Danio rerio: one gene and its partners. The protein of the gene in region 2 purifies or fractionates together with the protein of the main gene of each other region. This does not show direct contact. Links are inferred from orthologs where the notes say so. Each region holds a gene or a part of one and is shown on either strand. Other genes may lie near its edges.

Region 1 (3,569 bases), on a different chromosome or scaffold from region 2:
TTTTCTTACAATAACATTTGTTTAAAAGTTATCAAAGTATTTCCTGCTGAGGACACCAACCTAGACAGATTAAAAAAAAAAAAAAAGTTTGGATACAAGTAGAATAGTAAGTAATATTTAAAATATTTTATTTTTTATTATTAGTGTAATATTGTTATATAAAATGCCTTAAATTATAATAAAATAATATTGGGCAAATAAAAATCCTTTCTATCTGGGCCATTTTAAAAATTCCTTAGCCTTTTATGAGTCTAAAATTTCATTCATAATGGTCTTAAAAATGTCTTAAGTCTTAAATTTAACTCTGTGAAACCTGCAGAAACCCTAGGACAAGTAAGGGAGGCATGGCTAATACCCACATAGAGGGCATTACAGTAATCTAGCTGAAAAAAAAAAAATATATATATATATACAATTCTTTCAAAGTTGTTAAAAGACAGAAAAGAAACTTAACTTTGGATAATTGCCTTAACTGGAAAAAAATAGCTTTAATTATTGAATAAATCTGTTTGTCCAGTTTGAAGTCACTATCAATAATAACACCCAGGTTCTTAAAGTTAAACTTAAACTAATATAAAAATATAAGTATATAAAATCATTAATTAGGCTGAGAACTGAACTTGTACATATTTAAAAGGTGAATTTCTCAATAATTAGATATTTTTTAAAATAGATTCCAGATTTTTGAAATAGCTGTGTCTTGACCATTATTGTCAAAACCTAACAAACTATAAATAACTAAATGGTTTCAGATTATGTATTAATCTCATATGATTCTGAAGTACTCCAGTTAGATGGTGTAAAATTAGAACAGTTTTTTTTCTTCTATGGCTTGCATCAGTTTAAATTTTATTACAGACTCACTTACTAAAGTTAACATCCGGTTAGAGTAGAGCACTAATGACCCCTATTGGCAAACTGCTAAAACCAATGGCCCGTTGTTGGCCGAACATCAACTGTGTATGTCATGGCTTGAAGGTGTTTAGGTTAAAAAAAGAGCTCTCTGAGTGAACTGATATATTAGGCAGACATGCATATGAGGGACCTTTTTTGTTTGTTTTCAGAGTGACCATTGAACATGCACGCGTTCGTCTGCGTGGAGGCCGAGGTCGTGGGGGTGGAGGACGTTTCCCTGCTCGGTATGGTCGAGGCTCTCAGGACAGCCGAAGGTGAGTGTCAGTCTTTAGGTAAACTTTCCTCATGGGTCTTTTTTGTTATTATTTATTGCAGACAAACCTTCTGTTATGTGTGAATACTTTACAGTTCAAAATAAGGATGCATGATGTTGGAAAAATCTAACATTGCAATTTCTTTATTCTGCGATTTACTTATTACAGTATGTATACAATATTCCTAGATGACAAATAACTATTTGGAAAGAATTTATAATTTTAGATTCACTGGAATTACTCTGTAAGGGAATATATCTGCATAAAAACATATATTTAAAAACAATCTACAATACTAGATGTATTCAATAAAGAAAAAGATACAAATTAAATGAACTACATTTTATTGTTTTTAGTTCATAGTCTTGATATAAACAATTAGATGAAATTAACTGTTAATCATTTTTCAAAGTTACAAATGGTCCAATTTCATATGCCTGAATGTTTTTAAAATCCTCATACAGTCTTGGGCCTCAAAAAACAATTGTTGTTGGGGTACAGGAACTGTAGGCTTGTTTTTGTGACTTAGTTCCTATAACTACTCTGTGCTAAAGCCACTGTTATTAAAACATCATCTTTTTTTATTCCAGCTGATGAACAGTTAAAATATTGGCAGTCATTATTGCAGAATCCTTCCTGATTTAAATAGCATTTAAAACAACAGATTATACCATTGTAGTGTGATTTATAATAAAATAATGTTATCACACATTGGTGTAGGTGATATTATAGTTATTGAGCAATTCCAATGTTATGAATGTGACATTTGCCGTAAAAACTCAAAATATAAATTCACAAAGAAAGTATACGTTAATATTATTTTGAAATATGTTTATATTTTATTATGAGTTGTAGGACCAGAAAATTATCAACCTGTAAACATGTTTTGTACTTTAAATGAAGAAAATAAACACGCGTTATGGATGTGAGAAAAAAAGTCTCAGATTTTACAGTATACAACACACTGTAGAAATTCTGTAAATTAAACTGCAAAAAATACTAATGCTAATCGAAAGGATAAGAGTTGCTCTGTATAGAAAAAAAAAGTTTGAAAACATTGACAGACATTTTTGAGGATTTCTTAAGTACTGTAAAATACTTGTTTACACAAAAAACATAGAAACAGTTTCTGTAATTTTTTTTCATGGCAAAGTTTACATTTGCATTAAAGTGCTCTCTAGTCACTTTTATAGATTTTGTGAAGTCTTAGACATTTCTAATGTTACCAATAATTGGCAAACAATTCTGAATAAATATATATTCACAACAAATACTAACTGTTTTCAACAATGCTGTTGATCGATTGTCTTGTTCCGAAACAGGGATTAAAATTGTTACATTGTTGCTCTTAGTTCTTGGTGCGATTCGCTTTCACACTTGAAAGTTTCTTAATGAACCAAAAGAGCTAAAAACAATTCACATGCAAGTAAACTCTCCTAACATTGGTCAGAATTTCACAGTTTGAGTCTCGGTCAGCTGTCATGCATCCTTATTTTAAATTATGACTTTGAGCAATAAGACATTAGAAGCGAAAAGCTACGCTTTAATTTTGAATGGTGACACCTACAGACATCACCAAATATCATATCATATCATATATCAATAAAAGTCAGAGGTAAGACTTTCTCAGACATATCAGTTGGCTTATGCATTATAGGCCTTTACATTATAGAGAGAAGTAACAGATAAACCAAGACTGTTGTTCTGTCAATTTTCTTAACAGATACACAGCTCTCGTTAATAGTTCAGTACGCTTTCACTTTCGAATTTTACATGAAACACACTTTTACCAGTAGGAATTACATCCATAGAGGCGACCCAGGCGGCGTCCGAGACATCCCTTCACCTAGGTCCTCACTTTCGTCCGCGACAAACCTACCGGTCCTCACTGTCATAGGCGCAATCACACCCCCGTCTCTCTTTCGTTTTGAGGGTGGCATGATCATAGTTTGCCTAGAGCACCAGTTTAGCTTGCGCCGGCCCTGCTTATAATTCTCTCTTCATATAGTCATATGTCTATTACATATCCATAATACACTGTGATAAAGCCTGGCTCAGATCGTATTGCTTTCTCACTACAATCGTTCCGCTCCTGAGTTCATTTCAACCGACCTCATTTAGGCGATCTCGGACCGATTGATTTGGCGTGGATCCAAGCACGATTACTGGGTTCACATATACCAAACGAACGGCGATAACAAGACAAGACAGGTTCCAAAACAAAAGTCTAGGTGTGAAAGCACCCTAAATCTGAAAGGTAAAGAATATTTGCCCAAATAGGCTTATTATTTTGTCTTAGTTTAGTCTTATTTTGTACATTAGTAATTAACTAACTTAAGACATTTCACTTGACAGGAACCCTCCGCCAATGCGCACAGAGAATCGCCTCATCGTGGAGAA
Region 2 (4,335 bases):
AAATAGATATGCCATTCCTCTTTGAGCGAACCTGACAAGGCTAAGTGCATGTATGACAAGTGCCCCAATAACCCATGGACTTAGGATCATCCCCATTCCCCTCAAACTTGAAGCATAACGAAATACTACGCCATTAAATTTGCGACAGAAATTCTGGCAAAATAACCTTAGCCTCGGAACGTAAAAGCGAGGCCAACATGTCTAGAATAGAATAGGCTAAACCAATATGAACGTAAAATTATCAGCTGACCAAACTCAAAAGTTTATATTGAACATATGTGCAGCCTAAATAACATAGGCTAATTGGTTTAATATGCCTGACCTTAGGTCTAGTTTGATTTTTTCTTGGCACAATGCAGGAATAAAATGGCATCTACAGTGTCAGGATTCAGACGGGAGTGCCTGCATAGCCACTGCGCCCTGCTGCACTGAAGGAGCACTCGCTCGCAGCACTTGTTGCTGAAATGCATAGAATTCTCTTGGAAAGGTGCTGTAGTCATGGGAATGCCTGGCCTTATTTCTCCCAAAAGGAAAGTAGATTTTCCTATGCTGATCCGTCTATACGGAAGTTTGTAGAGGAATACTTTTGTACACTACATCCAGAATTAATGTATCCGATTCCTCCTCCCATTCTGTGAAGTCAGTCCTAGGCTTTTTCGTTGGTGCGCCAGCTATGAATATAAAAACAGTACAACCGCCCGCCACCCGCCCGAATTTAATTAAAATATTATTTTTTCGTAACGTCATCCGCCCGATCCGCGGTTTATCCGCGGAGTCCGCGGCTATAACCGCCAACCGCGCATCTCTGGCACACATTGCAATATCGAAGCTGAAACTATATATTGTGCAGCCCTAGTGTACATGTAAAAACACATTTTATAGCAGTGAAAACGGGGCTTCTTTTTCTGCAAGTAATATTTAGAAGAACTAAAAATTTAGGTATTTATACAAAGTAATTTTGCAAAGCAAATCATCATTTTAGGTTATTTCTGATTTGTAATTTGACAATAAACCATTTTTAGCTCAATACAAGTAAAGATCCTGTAATTATGATTATTTTATGATGTGGTTTTAGGTGGATATGACCAAGGTCAACCTGGAAGTCATCAAGCCCTGGATAACCCAGCGTGTGACAGAGATACTTGGCTTCGAGGATGATGTGGTCATTGAATTTGTCTTTAACCAGCTGGAGGAAAAGGTAGACCCCCACCTTGCTCTTCCCGCTCTTGTTTTATTTTTTTATACACATGCTGCAGTCTATATTAGATGTGTTGTGCTTTGGAAAGAAGAGAAGGTTTGAAGATCAATGAATAACCGCTGACAGTTATTTGAAACATTTGTCATGTGAAGATGTAACAGCAGAAACATCTAACATCACAGTGTTAAACTGTCTGCCTGATTTAAAAAAAGACAGAAAAGGGGGTAAAAAGATATATTTCTCTCTGAAGAAATGATTTGTGACACCGTTCCTTCTGAACAGCAATGTTCTAATGTTGATGTGATTTATGATTTAAAAGGCCTGAACCAATATGGATCTTATTCCTTGCATCTGAAGTATAGCACCAACTCCTAATTAGATCTCAACTGAGCCCAAAGTCTCTCTGAATCCAACTCTCCCTTGATGATGAGCTTTATTTTTTGAGGTGAGTTATGAGCAGGGCTTGACATTGTGCCAGTGGTAGAGTCATTTCAGCTTGATCATTTGTGCCTTTCTGTTTTAGTCAAAGTTTAGCAGTACATCTTAAACATAAAGGCCTGATTTATCACTTTTATGGAAATGAAAACTATTAAGGAATAAAATGAAAAGATGATTTTGCATGTAGGATGATAATGCAGTACAACATTGGTAGTGTAAGAGACTTGTTTTTTTTTTTTACTTGAGTCTCAGTTACTTGCTCATCTGTCAGTTATTAAAGACTTTGTTTTTTGTATGATTGTGCCTTTAAACAGTACGAAAAAAAGAGACGTGACCCTTTTTATCTGTTTTAGATAGGCTCTCTGTATTAGTTGCTATTTTAGTCTGTACAGATTTAATTTTCAGGAAGATTTTGCTGGGATTCCAGAGAGGTATTTGCTCTTATTTATAATACATTAAGGTGTTTCCTTAGTCTAAAACATACTTTTAATTTGTCATGGCATAGCCATATAGTAATTTGAAGAAATTCTTCAAGTTGAGCTTAATCAACAGTGTTTGTGGAATAATATGATATACCTAAGAGAATAATTTAGTCATCTTTTCTTTGTTAAAATAAAACATTTAATTACAGTTATTTGTAATTTAATTACAGCGATTATGACTGCCAGGATGAAAAGAATAAAAAGTTTGTTGAATCACTCTAAAATCAAAATCTTGAATAAACATTTTAACTTGCTAACAATTAATTAACTTTTTTTTTGTATAGTAAATATGCTCGCATATTTAAATGAAGGGTGCATTACTTGATTTTTTGCGATTGATTATTTTTGTCATAATTGTAATCACGATTATTCAAAATGATTACTGTTAAAGTCAAAATTATTAGTGCTCCTGTGAATTTTTTAAATAATTATTTCCCAAATTATGTTTAACAGAGCAAGGAATTTTAATAGTATTTTCTCTAATATTTTTTTCTTTTGGAGAAAGTCTTTTTATTTCAGCTAGAATAAAAGCAGGTTTAAATATTTTGAAACTTATTTTAAGGTCAATATTATAAGCCCCTTAAGGCAATGTATATTTTTTATTGTCTGCAGAAGAAACTACTGTTACACAATGACTTAACAATGACCCTAATTAAGCCTTCGAATCGCACTTTGAATCTGAATGCTTGTATTTTGAAAAATTTCTAGTCCAATATCATGTGCTGTCATCATAGCAAAAATAAAAGAAATCAGTTATTATAAATGAGTTATTAAAACTACTATGTTTAGAAATGTGTTTAAAAAAAATGTTTCCATTAAACAAAATTTGGGGGAAACGGGTTGCTAATATTCTGGAGGGCTAATAATTCTGACTTCAACAGTTATTTTCCTCCCTGCAAAGGTAAGAGAAATAAATACAATAAAATAACACTTAAGCTACAAAAGTCCTTCATTCAAGAGCAGTAAGGGATTTTCTCCTTTTTTTATTTGATTAATACTGATCGAAACAGGCGGTAGCAGAAATAGTGCGCTGTCACTTTAAAGGTTTCGCTTTTACGTTTCTTTTGATTCTCAACTCGTTTGTTTATTACACAAATGAGGGTTAATATGAATAATCACTAAACACCGCGTATGGACGCCTATTTGAAAATTAAAACGCTCACATTAATGACTTTAGATGTGCGCTCTGCTCGTCACCGTGTGCGAATGAGACCGAATGCTGACCGCATGCTTCTGACTGTGTGTGCTCGCTGCACACACACAAACAGGAGCATGCGGTTTAGTTCGTGCTTTTAAGAGCAACAAATGTTTACAACTGGAAAGGGGGCGGTAAATAATGTAATAATCGTTCATCTCGATTAATGGTTTTTCATAATTGTTGGAAGCCAAAATCGGATTTTCGATTAATTGCACAGCCCTACTGGATAATATTGTAGTATTTTATTAAAGAGCCTGCACCATAATTATATAAGATTTTCAAAATGTTTTTATGCAAGCGCACACAGAGATAACTGATATATATATCACTCTTCCTCGCATGGTTTCATTGTGCCAATATAAATTCATTGCTGTAGAATGCAAGTAAGTCAATACTTAAAAGTCTTTGGCATCTAAAAAAAGAAGTAAATGTTTCAATTATTCCACAGATCCTGTTGAGAGAGCTTGACCTGTATAAAGTCAGACACATTTGTATAGGCCTTATTTTAGAACAGCAGGTGCTCAGTCCTGCTCTTGAAGATCTACTTCATTGCAAACTTCTGCTCCAGCTCTTCTTAAAACCGAACTCTGGTGCACATCTTCAGGAGCACGATTTAGCACGTGTGTCTTAGTTAACGGGTCTAATAGGATTGATTTTCCTCTTCATTTTGTTGTTAATAAAACCTTTTCTATGCCTTGTGTACTCATTATTGCTTGTTCGTCTCTTGCAATTTAGATAAATGATATAGCATTAAACTCAAGGTGATTGAGTGTGATGCGGTAGTGAGGCGGAGGCCAGCCAATGGAGCGCCTTTCTCCGCCCCCCCAGCCCACAGAGCCTGCGCCACTCACACTGAAGACAACTGGACTGTTCTTGCTTTGTGGGGTTTTGATGCACTCTGTTTGTGGACTGTAATGTTTCTATCTCTCAGGAGTTTGATATTGCACAGGATGAGACAGCCATAGTGGTTGGGAGGGTCTTATTGCTCCTTGACGGGGGGATGTGAACTGGGAGGGTTC
Region 3 (3,569 bases), on a different chromosome or scaffold from region 2:
AGAGAACTAGCCCTTTAAGTCAAATAGCATAACCATAACCTGTATATAAACGATTACTACTCGCTCTGTACTGTAGCTCCAGTGTTCTTCAGTCCCACCAGTGCACTGCGCTGTGACAGCAGCTTCCCATTCTCTATTCCCTATTCTGAGTTCTAGCCCAGTGGAAAGTAAGCATCAACGTCCATGTCTAAGTTATGAACTACTTCAGATTTGATTTTCACAATAACAAAGTCCTTGATTGTTTCAATTTGAAAGAGTCCAGTGGGGGCTGAGGCTGAGTCCAAGTGTCGTTGTGGCTAAGATGACTACCTGACCGGTTTGGCCTTGGCCTCTTCACCTTACAATGTGTGTGTGACCTTTGCCCCTTGATGCTTTGGCTGACCTAACCGGAAGCCAAGATGACCACAGCCTTTTGCCAATAGACCAGGGGTGATGGTGAGGAATGCCACTAGTTATTGCTATGTTGTCCATATGGAAAAGCCTCTAGCCAAGATGTAATAGAAATGTCTGAAATGGAGACATTGGGGTTTGCACTAGCAATTTCTGTGTGGGCAAGTCAGGATGTTCATGCCAAGGTTTTGATTAAATATTTAAATGTATCAGATTAATTTTGCCCTAAAAGACCTGAGATTTGATCGTCTGGTCAGCCTTTATTGTGTGTCTTATCAGATTCTCTTTTATCCAAATAGTAATGCCTTTCTGGGAGGCAGCAAAGTGCTCTTGAGTCTCAACAGGTTGGCAATAAGCAACAGAGGGCAAATATGACCTGTATTTCCTAATAGACTCATTATTAATTCAGTGGCGTCCATCTTTCTTTGGTTTGTCTCTTATAAAAGGTTGTCTTATGTTCCCTCCCCTTGTGTACTGAAGGTGGTTACAGCAGCAGGAGTCGCACCGGTAGGGACAAGTACGGTCCTCCTGTTCGCACTGAGTATCGGCTCATTGTGGAGAATCTGTCTAGTCGCTGCAGCTGGCAAGACCTAAAGGTAATGGTGGTAAAATGGCACACAACAACCCTGTCAGCTCTGCATCCCAGCATGTTTTCCATTTCACACAGTAGCCCTAATGTTTAATGCAGAAGCTGATTGGTCTGATTTTAGGACACTTTTTATTACTTCAGTGGTCTCAAGTGATTAATAGAACAAAAACTAACTGTTTAGTGTAAAAATCATTTTAGATATCAATTCTGGGATCTTCAAAATGCATACATTTTCTCTTCACAGCAGTTCAGAATAGATTCAAGAGAAAATGTATGCATTTTGAAAATCCCAGAATCGATATCCGTACAGCCATACTCTGCCTCAGGTTCTTGACAAATACCTCTTAATCCTAAAACAATCATTGACAAAATTGGTGAGTTTCAAGCGCATTCTTAGTGAGCATGTTTAAAAACTAGCCCTGAGCATCGTCTGCTCTTTAAGAACAGACCCAGGGCGCCGTCTGCCATTTTAAAAACCAGCCAAGAGCGCAGTCTGCTGTTTAAAAACTGGCCCAGAGCACCATCTGCTGTTTAAGAACCGGCCCAGAGCACATGTGCTGTTTAAAAACTAGCCCAGAGCACCATCTGCTGTTTAAAAACCGAACCCGAGCGCCGTCTGCAGTTTAAATACTAGCCCAGAGCACCATCTGCTGTTTAAAAACCGAACCCGAGCGCCGTCTGCAGTTTAAATACTAGCCCAGAGCACCATCTGCTGTTTAAAAACCGAACCAGAGCGCCGTCTGCAGTTTAAAAACTAGCCCAGAGCACCATCTGCTGTTTAAGAACCGGCCCAGAGCACATGTGCTGTTTAAAAACTAGCCCAGAGCACCATCTGCTGTTTAAAAACCGAACCCGAGCGCCGTCTGCAGTTTAAATACTAGCCCAGAGCACCATCTGCTGTTTAAAAACCGAACCAGAGCGCCGTCTGCAGTTTAAAAACTAGCCCAGAGCACCATCTGCTGTTTAAAAACCAGCCCAGAGCGCCGCCTGCTGTTTAGGAGAACCAGCCCAGAGCGCCGCCTGCTGTTTAGGAGAACCAGCCCAGAGCGCCGCCTGCTGTTTAGGAGAACCAGCCCAGAGCGCCGCCTGCCATTTAAAAACGGTCCCAGAGCGCCATCTGCAGTTTAAGAACGGTCCCAGAGCGCCATCTGCAGTTTAAGAACGGTCCCAGAGCGCCATCTGCAGTTTAAAAACCAGCCCAGAGCGCCGCCTGCTGTTTAAAAACCAGCCCAGAGCGCCGCCTGCTGTTTAAAAACCAGCCCAGAGCGCCGCCTGCTGTTTAAAAACCAGCCCAGAGCGCCGCCTGCCGTTCAAGAACGGTCCCAGAGCGCCGTCTGCCGTTCAAGAACGGTCCCAGAGCGGTCCTAGTCTAGAATGCCATAATCTGCTGTTAAACTTGCCTAGAGCGCCACCTGCTGTTAAAAAACGTTTAGAATAGATTTAAGCATACCCATACAGTTTTTTAAAAATATCAGGATTAATTACTCAAAATATTTTTTGCCATTTAACAATGTGTAAATTCAATGTTTATGTGGCTTGGTTTTGATTGCTGAAAGTCTTTTAACAGCTAACAACAATGCTGAAGTTTGATGTGGTATTTGAATGATTAGCTGTTGTGCATGAAGCTGAAGTTTGGGTTCTCTTTGCAGGATTTTATGCGACAGGCAGGTGAGGTGACCTATGCGGATGCCCATAAGGAGCGTGCAAATGAGGGCGTCATTGAGTTTCGCTCTTACTCTGATATGCGGAGAGCTCTGGAGAAACTGGATGGCACTGACATTAATGGCAGGAAGATTCGTCTGGTTGAAGATAAGCCACGAAGACGACGCTCCTACTCTGGCAGTCGCTCCCGGTGAGACTTTGCAATTTTTGCTTCTGGTAAATCTCGGGGATCAGTTTCCGCAATTGACAGCAAGAACACACATAGAAGGCTTGTCCAATTAACACGCAGCATATGAATGTGTTCAAAAGAATTAAAAACACCAAAATGGGATGTATTTATACCGCATTTTGAAAGTGAAAGCACCTCATATTCACCGATTATAAAGTTCAGTATTTATTACACGACGTTCTCTTCTTTACATTTACATTATAAACACATTTAGCTCTGTGCATATCGACTTCAGTTCCGATAATAACCGATAATCATTGTATTTATTTATTTATTCTGTTTAATTGATTTATTTATTTTAGCCCCTTAACTGAAAGACGTGATTTTATTTGTGTGTGCGTAGTGTAAACAGTGGGCGGTTTAAATGTAAAAAAAAAAAAAAAAAAAAAGAAGGTAAAATTAAACACAAACTTTTTGTCTTTCAAACATTTATTTTTTCTATTTTAATATCTCGCTGTTAGCTAGTCTTTCAACAAATAACAATGTAAGAATGATAATTATAACGATGATAATAACGGGGAGGGAAACCCCTGTGTTTGAATAATATTTTGCTCAAACTGAGTCTTGAGTTAAAGTAACCATTTATGGGATAATACCTGTTATATATTATACTGTCATTCCTCCTAAAAATACAGAGATTTGATTTTTTTTTTGGCCCATATCGCCCAGCCTTAGCCTGTAGTGTTTTTTTTTTTCACT
Region 4 (3,569 bases), on a different chromosome or scaffold from region 2:
TAAGAAAAAAACACTAAACACATGCATCTTTTTTTCTTTTTACTGAACTAGTCTGCAGTAACGAAAGCAGGAGATGCTTTAGAAACAAACAGATAGCCAACCAAAAAAGTAACGCCGAGTTATACAAAGAGTGGCCAACACAAAATACATACATTCCTTATATGAGAGTCCTATCTCACACTCAATACCCTACGATTACGGTTATATAAAAACAGCACTACAACATACAAAAGAGAGAGATCTACTTAATGTCACTCATCAATTTTTAGAATTTGATCAGCTGTTAGAAAATACAACAATCTTTTCTCCTCTAAGGGCTTATTATGTGGTCTCTTGTCGCCATCTTGTGGATGGAAAACGTCAACCGTCTTTGCTCGGCTCAATAACATAGGCTGGTGGATGCCATCATGCTATCTCAGAAATTATAAATATTTAAAACAGGCACTGTCCTTATAAATAAACTCCACAGATGCAATCTAAACGACTACATTCTTAACTTAAAAGCCTCAAAAGTACATTGTTGTCCAACAGCTGCAACATTTGTCAAACTGTAGTGACTTTATTGATCTGATGTCACTCTGTAGGTGAAGTATGGTGAAGAGGCTGTAAGAGTTCTGATATGGCAGAATATCACATGGCTATTAGCCAATCAGATTCAGCACCCGGACAGAACTGTTGTATATTATATTATATTATATTATATTATATTATATTATATTATATTATATTATAATATATTATAATATATTATATATATTATATAATATAATATAATATAATGAGTGAATTTGAAGTTGATGACTTAAACTACCCACTGTACAATGTGAAGAGAATTGTATTTAAAATTTATTTATGAATTGTTGACAAGAATATTTAAAGCTATATTACCAATTTAGTATCATCTTTTGCAATTCATTTTGTTGCCATACAAGCAAAGCTGTTGCATAAGGCATTATATGTATTTTAGCTTTGAAGTTTTTATTTTTAGTGTTGCTTATATTTGAGTTAAGGATCATGATTGAGCGAAATGACAGGTAATTATAGATAATTATTCCAATTTAAAAAAATGTTTTAAGGAACAAGCTCAAAAACGCTGAGTAAGGTTCAACTGGCTTTTAAGGGTCTTAATTCAGAGCAAAAAGTTAAATTCAACGTCATGGTATTGTGTTACATGCACTCCGAGAAGATTGGTATATTCCTTAGATTTTTAATACAATGTCTAAAAATCCTTTTAGTTAATATGTTTGATAAAATAGTTTTACTTTATATATTTTTTTTATTCAAAATAGAGGCATTAATACTTAATTTTATTAATGATATGATTTTTTTCATATTTTTATTTTTATTTATGCATGTTTTTGTTACTATATATGATGCTTCATTCATTTTCTTTTTTCGGCTTAGTCCTTTTAATAATATGGGGTTGCCACAGCGGAATGAACTGCCAACTTATCCAGCACATGTTTTATGCAGTGGTTGCCCTTCCAGCTGCAATCCATCACTGGGAAACATCCATACACATTCACACTTACCCTACAAACAATTTTAGCTTTCCAATTCACCCACGCCGCATGTTTTTGGACTTGAGGGGGAAACCAGAGCACCCGGAGGAAACCCATAGGAACATGGAGAGAACATGAAAACTCCACACAGAAATACCAACTGACCCAGCCAGGGCTCAAACCAGCAACCTTTTTGCTGTGAGGCTATTGTGCTACCCACTGAGCCACCGTGCTGCCCACATGTATAATGCTTAGTGCTCATAATTTAAAGTCTTTGTTCTACAAGTTGTGCATTGCAATTCACATTCATTTACTATCTTATGTCTTGTTTATATACTTTGACTATGCTTTGTGGAGCAATTGATATTTTAATGTTTGAGTACACTAGATGGCAATAACTCCTGTAGTAAAATAGAAGTCGTGTTGCTTTGTGCTAATGTATTGATTTGTTGAATTGTTCTGTTTTCTTTCCATTTCAGAGCCTCAGGTTCACGATCACGCAGCAGGTCAACCAGCAAGAAGGCTAAGAGCAGGAGCAGCAGGATGGAGGAGAGCAGTAACGGAGCTCGCAAGGGTGGTGATAGCGGCAGGGATAATAGCTTGAGCCGCAGCCCTCAAAATAAAAAGAGCAAACGTGAGAACAAGCGGGGTCGCTCTGATTCTCGGTCCAGATCTCGATCCAAATCGAGGAACGATAGGGATCTGTCCAGAGAGTCTGGGTCCAAATCTCAGGAGGCGAGCAAGAGTGGTGATGAAGGCAGAGCGGGAACACATCGTTCTAGAGCTCATTCTCGATCCAGATCACAAACACCACCAAATGCAGATCAGCGGAGGGAATCTAGATCCAGGTCTAGGTCCAGATCCAAATCACGCTCACATTCACGCTCACAGTCTTATTCCCGATCTCGATCCCGTTCGAGGTCTCGGTCCTAAATCCATTTCTGAAAGTCTTTCTCACTCAGTATTATTCATCTTGTTTTCCAGTCTAGCTAAACGTCTTTAAAACAAGAATATGTCTTAAATGTTTTTTTTTTTTTACCCCTTTAAATCTTTTTGTCACAATTGTGATAGATGTATGCTTAAAACAAAACACAGTTATCAACTGATAGGGGTAAGAAAATAAATAGAATTCAAGATATATTGTCTGAAAACAAGTCTGAATGTTACATTTGAGAAGCAAAATGGTGTATCTTGTTTTTAGATATTTTGTCCTCGGAAAAAGACAAGAATAGACTGAAAATTATGTTTTGCAGTCAGTGTCTAAATGTTGTTCTGCCCTTCATTTCTTTTTTTGAAGCTACTTTTTTGTAGTTTTGTTTTATCCTTTGTTGTCAAATAGACAAGCTAGTTATTAGGGAAATTGCCTGCTTATTCACAGTTATTATTTTCTGAAATTGTTAACCTTATGTTTTATTTTAGTAGTGTTTTTCTTTGGAAATTGCTTGCATATGTTTTATTCATAAAGACCGAGCCCTCAGTAGGTGTCCTAACCCTTTGCATTGTATACTTTAGACCTGTACCATAATTGTTGTTATGCTGGGGCAGAGTTTATGGTCTTTTTAAATTCAGTTTCTCCATGCAAAACAATAAAAACTGCCTCACAATGCTTGTGTCCATTCTGTTCATTTCCAAGGGTGTTTTGTGATGGCCTTCCTTGTATTGCAAAGTCAAAACCACAACTGATCTTTGGCCATTTTATGAAACAAAAGTTTTTAGTTTTTATTTCAAAACTTTTACTTTATTGGAATTGTATAAATCTCTTTTAGGGTTTAACACTTGCCATTTGAATGCAGACTGAAGTCTTGCAAAAACACAATGTAAAGAAGTTGTCATTTATAAGAATGTGTCGATAACTCCATTTTGATAAAAATGTCGGATAGAACCTTATAATTCTATGGTGACGATTTGTAAATGAAAACAACCTCCTGTTTAAAAAAAACGTGTGCCCCAAAGAGTTGAAGATATAGCTTTGAATAAAAATAATACGTTAGTAACTTGTAATTATTTAAAGTATTTTTTCGTTTAACTTTTTAAGTTTCCATGTAGAAAAAAATCCACAAGATGTCG

Evidence for each region.
Region 1: the proteins of srrm1 (region 2) and srsf5b purify together in Homo sapiens (affinity purification with western blotting; 3 studies listed by BioGRID and IntAct, with this or other methods). This does not show direct contact. The link is inferred for Danio rerio from reciprocal best matches to the Homo sapiens genes SRRM1 and SRSF5.
Region 3: the proteins of srrm1 (region 2) and srsf6a purify together in Homo sapiens (affinity purification with western blotting; 3 studies listed by BioGRID and IntAct, with this or other methods). This does not show direct contact. The link is inferred for Danio rerio from reciprocal best matches to the Homo sapiens genes SRRM1 and SRSF6.
Region 4: the proteins of srrm1 (region 2) and srsf4 purify together in Homo sapiens (affinity purification with western blotting; 3 studies listed by BioGRID and IntAct, with this or other methods). This does not show direct contact. The link is inferred for Danio rerio from reciprocal best matches to the Homo sapiens genes SRRM1 and SRSF4.

Annotation. Positions count from the first base shown.
Region 1 is NC_133195.1:31,614,984-31,618,552, reverse strand, and holds part of srsf5b (serine and arginine rich splicing factor 5b), read left to right. Parts: intron 1-1,064; coding exon 1,065-1,169; intron 1,170-3,524; coding exon 3,525-3,569. UniProt on the Homo sapiens protein: Plays a role in constitutive splicing and can modulate the selection of alternative splice sites.
Region 2 is NC_133192.1:26,822,854-26,827,188, forward strand, and holds the start of srrm1 (serine/arginine repetitive matrix protein 1), read left to right. Parts: upstream 1-1,512; 5' UTR 1,513-1,643; intron 1,644-4,335. UniProt on the Homo sapiens protein: Part of pre- and post-splicing multiprotein mRNP complexes. As a component of the minor spliceosome, involved in the splicing of U12-type introns in pre-mRNAs. Involved in numerous pre-mRNA processing events.
Region 3 is NC_133198.1:4,266,630-4,270,198, forward strand, and holds part of srsf6a (serine and arginine rich splicing factor 6a), read left to right. Parts: intron 1-870; coding exon 871-986; exon of another isoform or gene 987-2,598; coding exon of another isoform or gene 2,599-2,628; coding exon 2,629-2,831; intron 2,832-3,569. UniProt on the Homo sapiens protein: Plays a role in constitutive splicing and modulates the selection of alternative splice sites. Plays a role in the alternative splicing of MAPT/Tau exon 10. Binds to alternative exons of TNC pre-mRNA and promotes the expression of alternatively spliced TNC.
Region 4 is NC_133194.1:14,557,574-14,561,142, forward strand, and holds the end of srsf4 (serine/arginine-rich splicing factor 4), read left to right. Parts: intron 1-1,981; coding exon 1,982-2,435; 3' UTR 2,436-3,106; downstream 3,107-3,569. UniProt on the Homo sapiens protein: Plays a role in alternative splice site selection during pre-mRNA splicing. Represses the splicing of MAPT/Tau exon 10.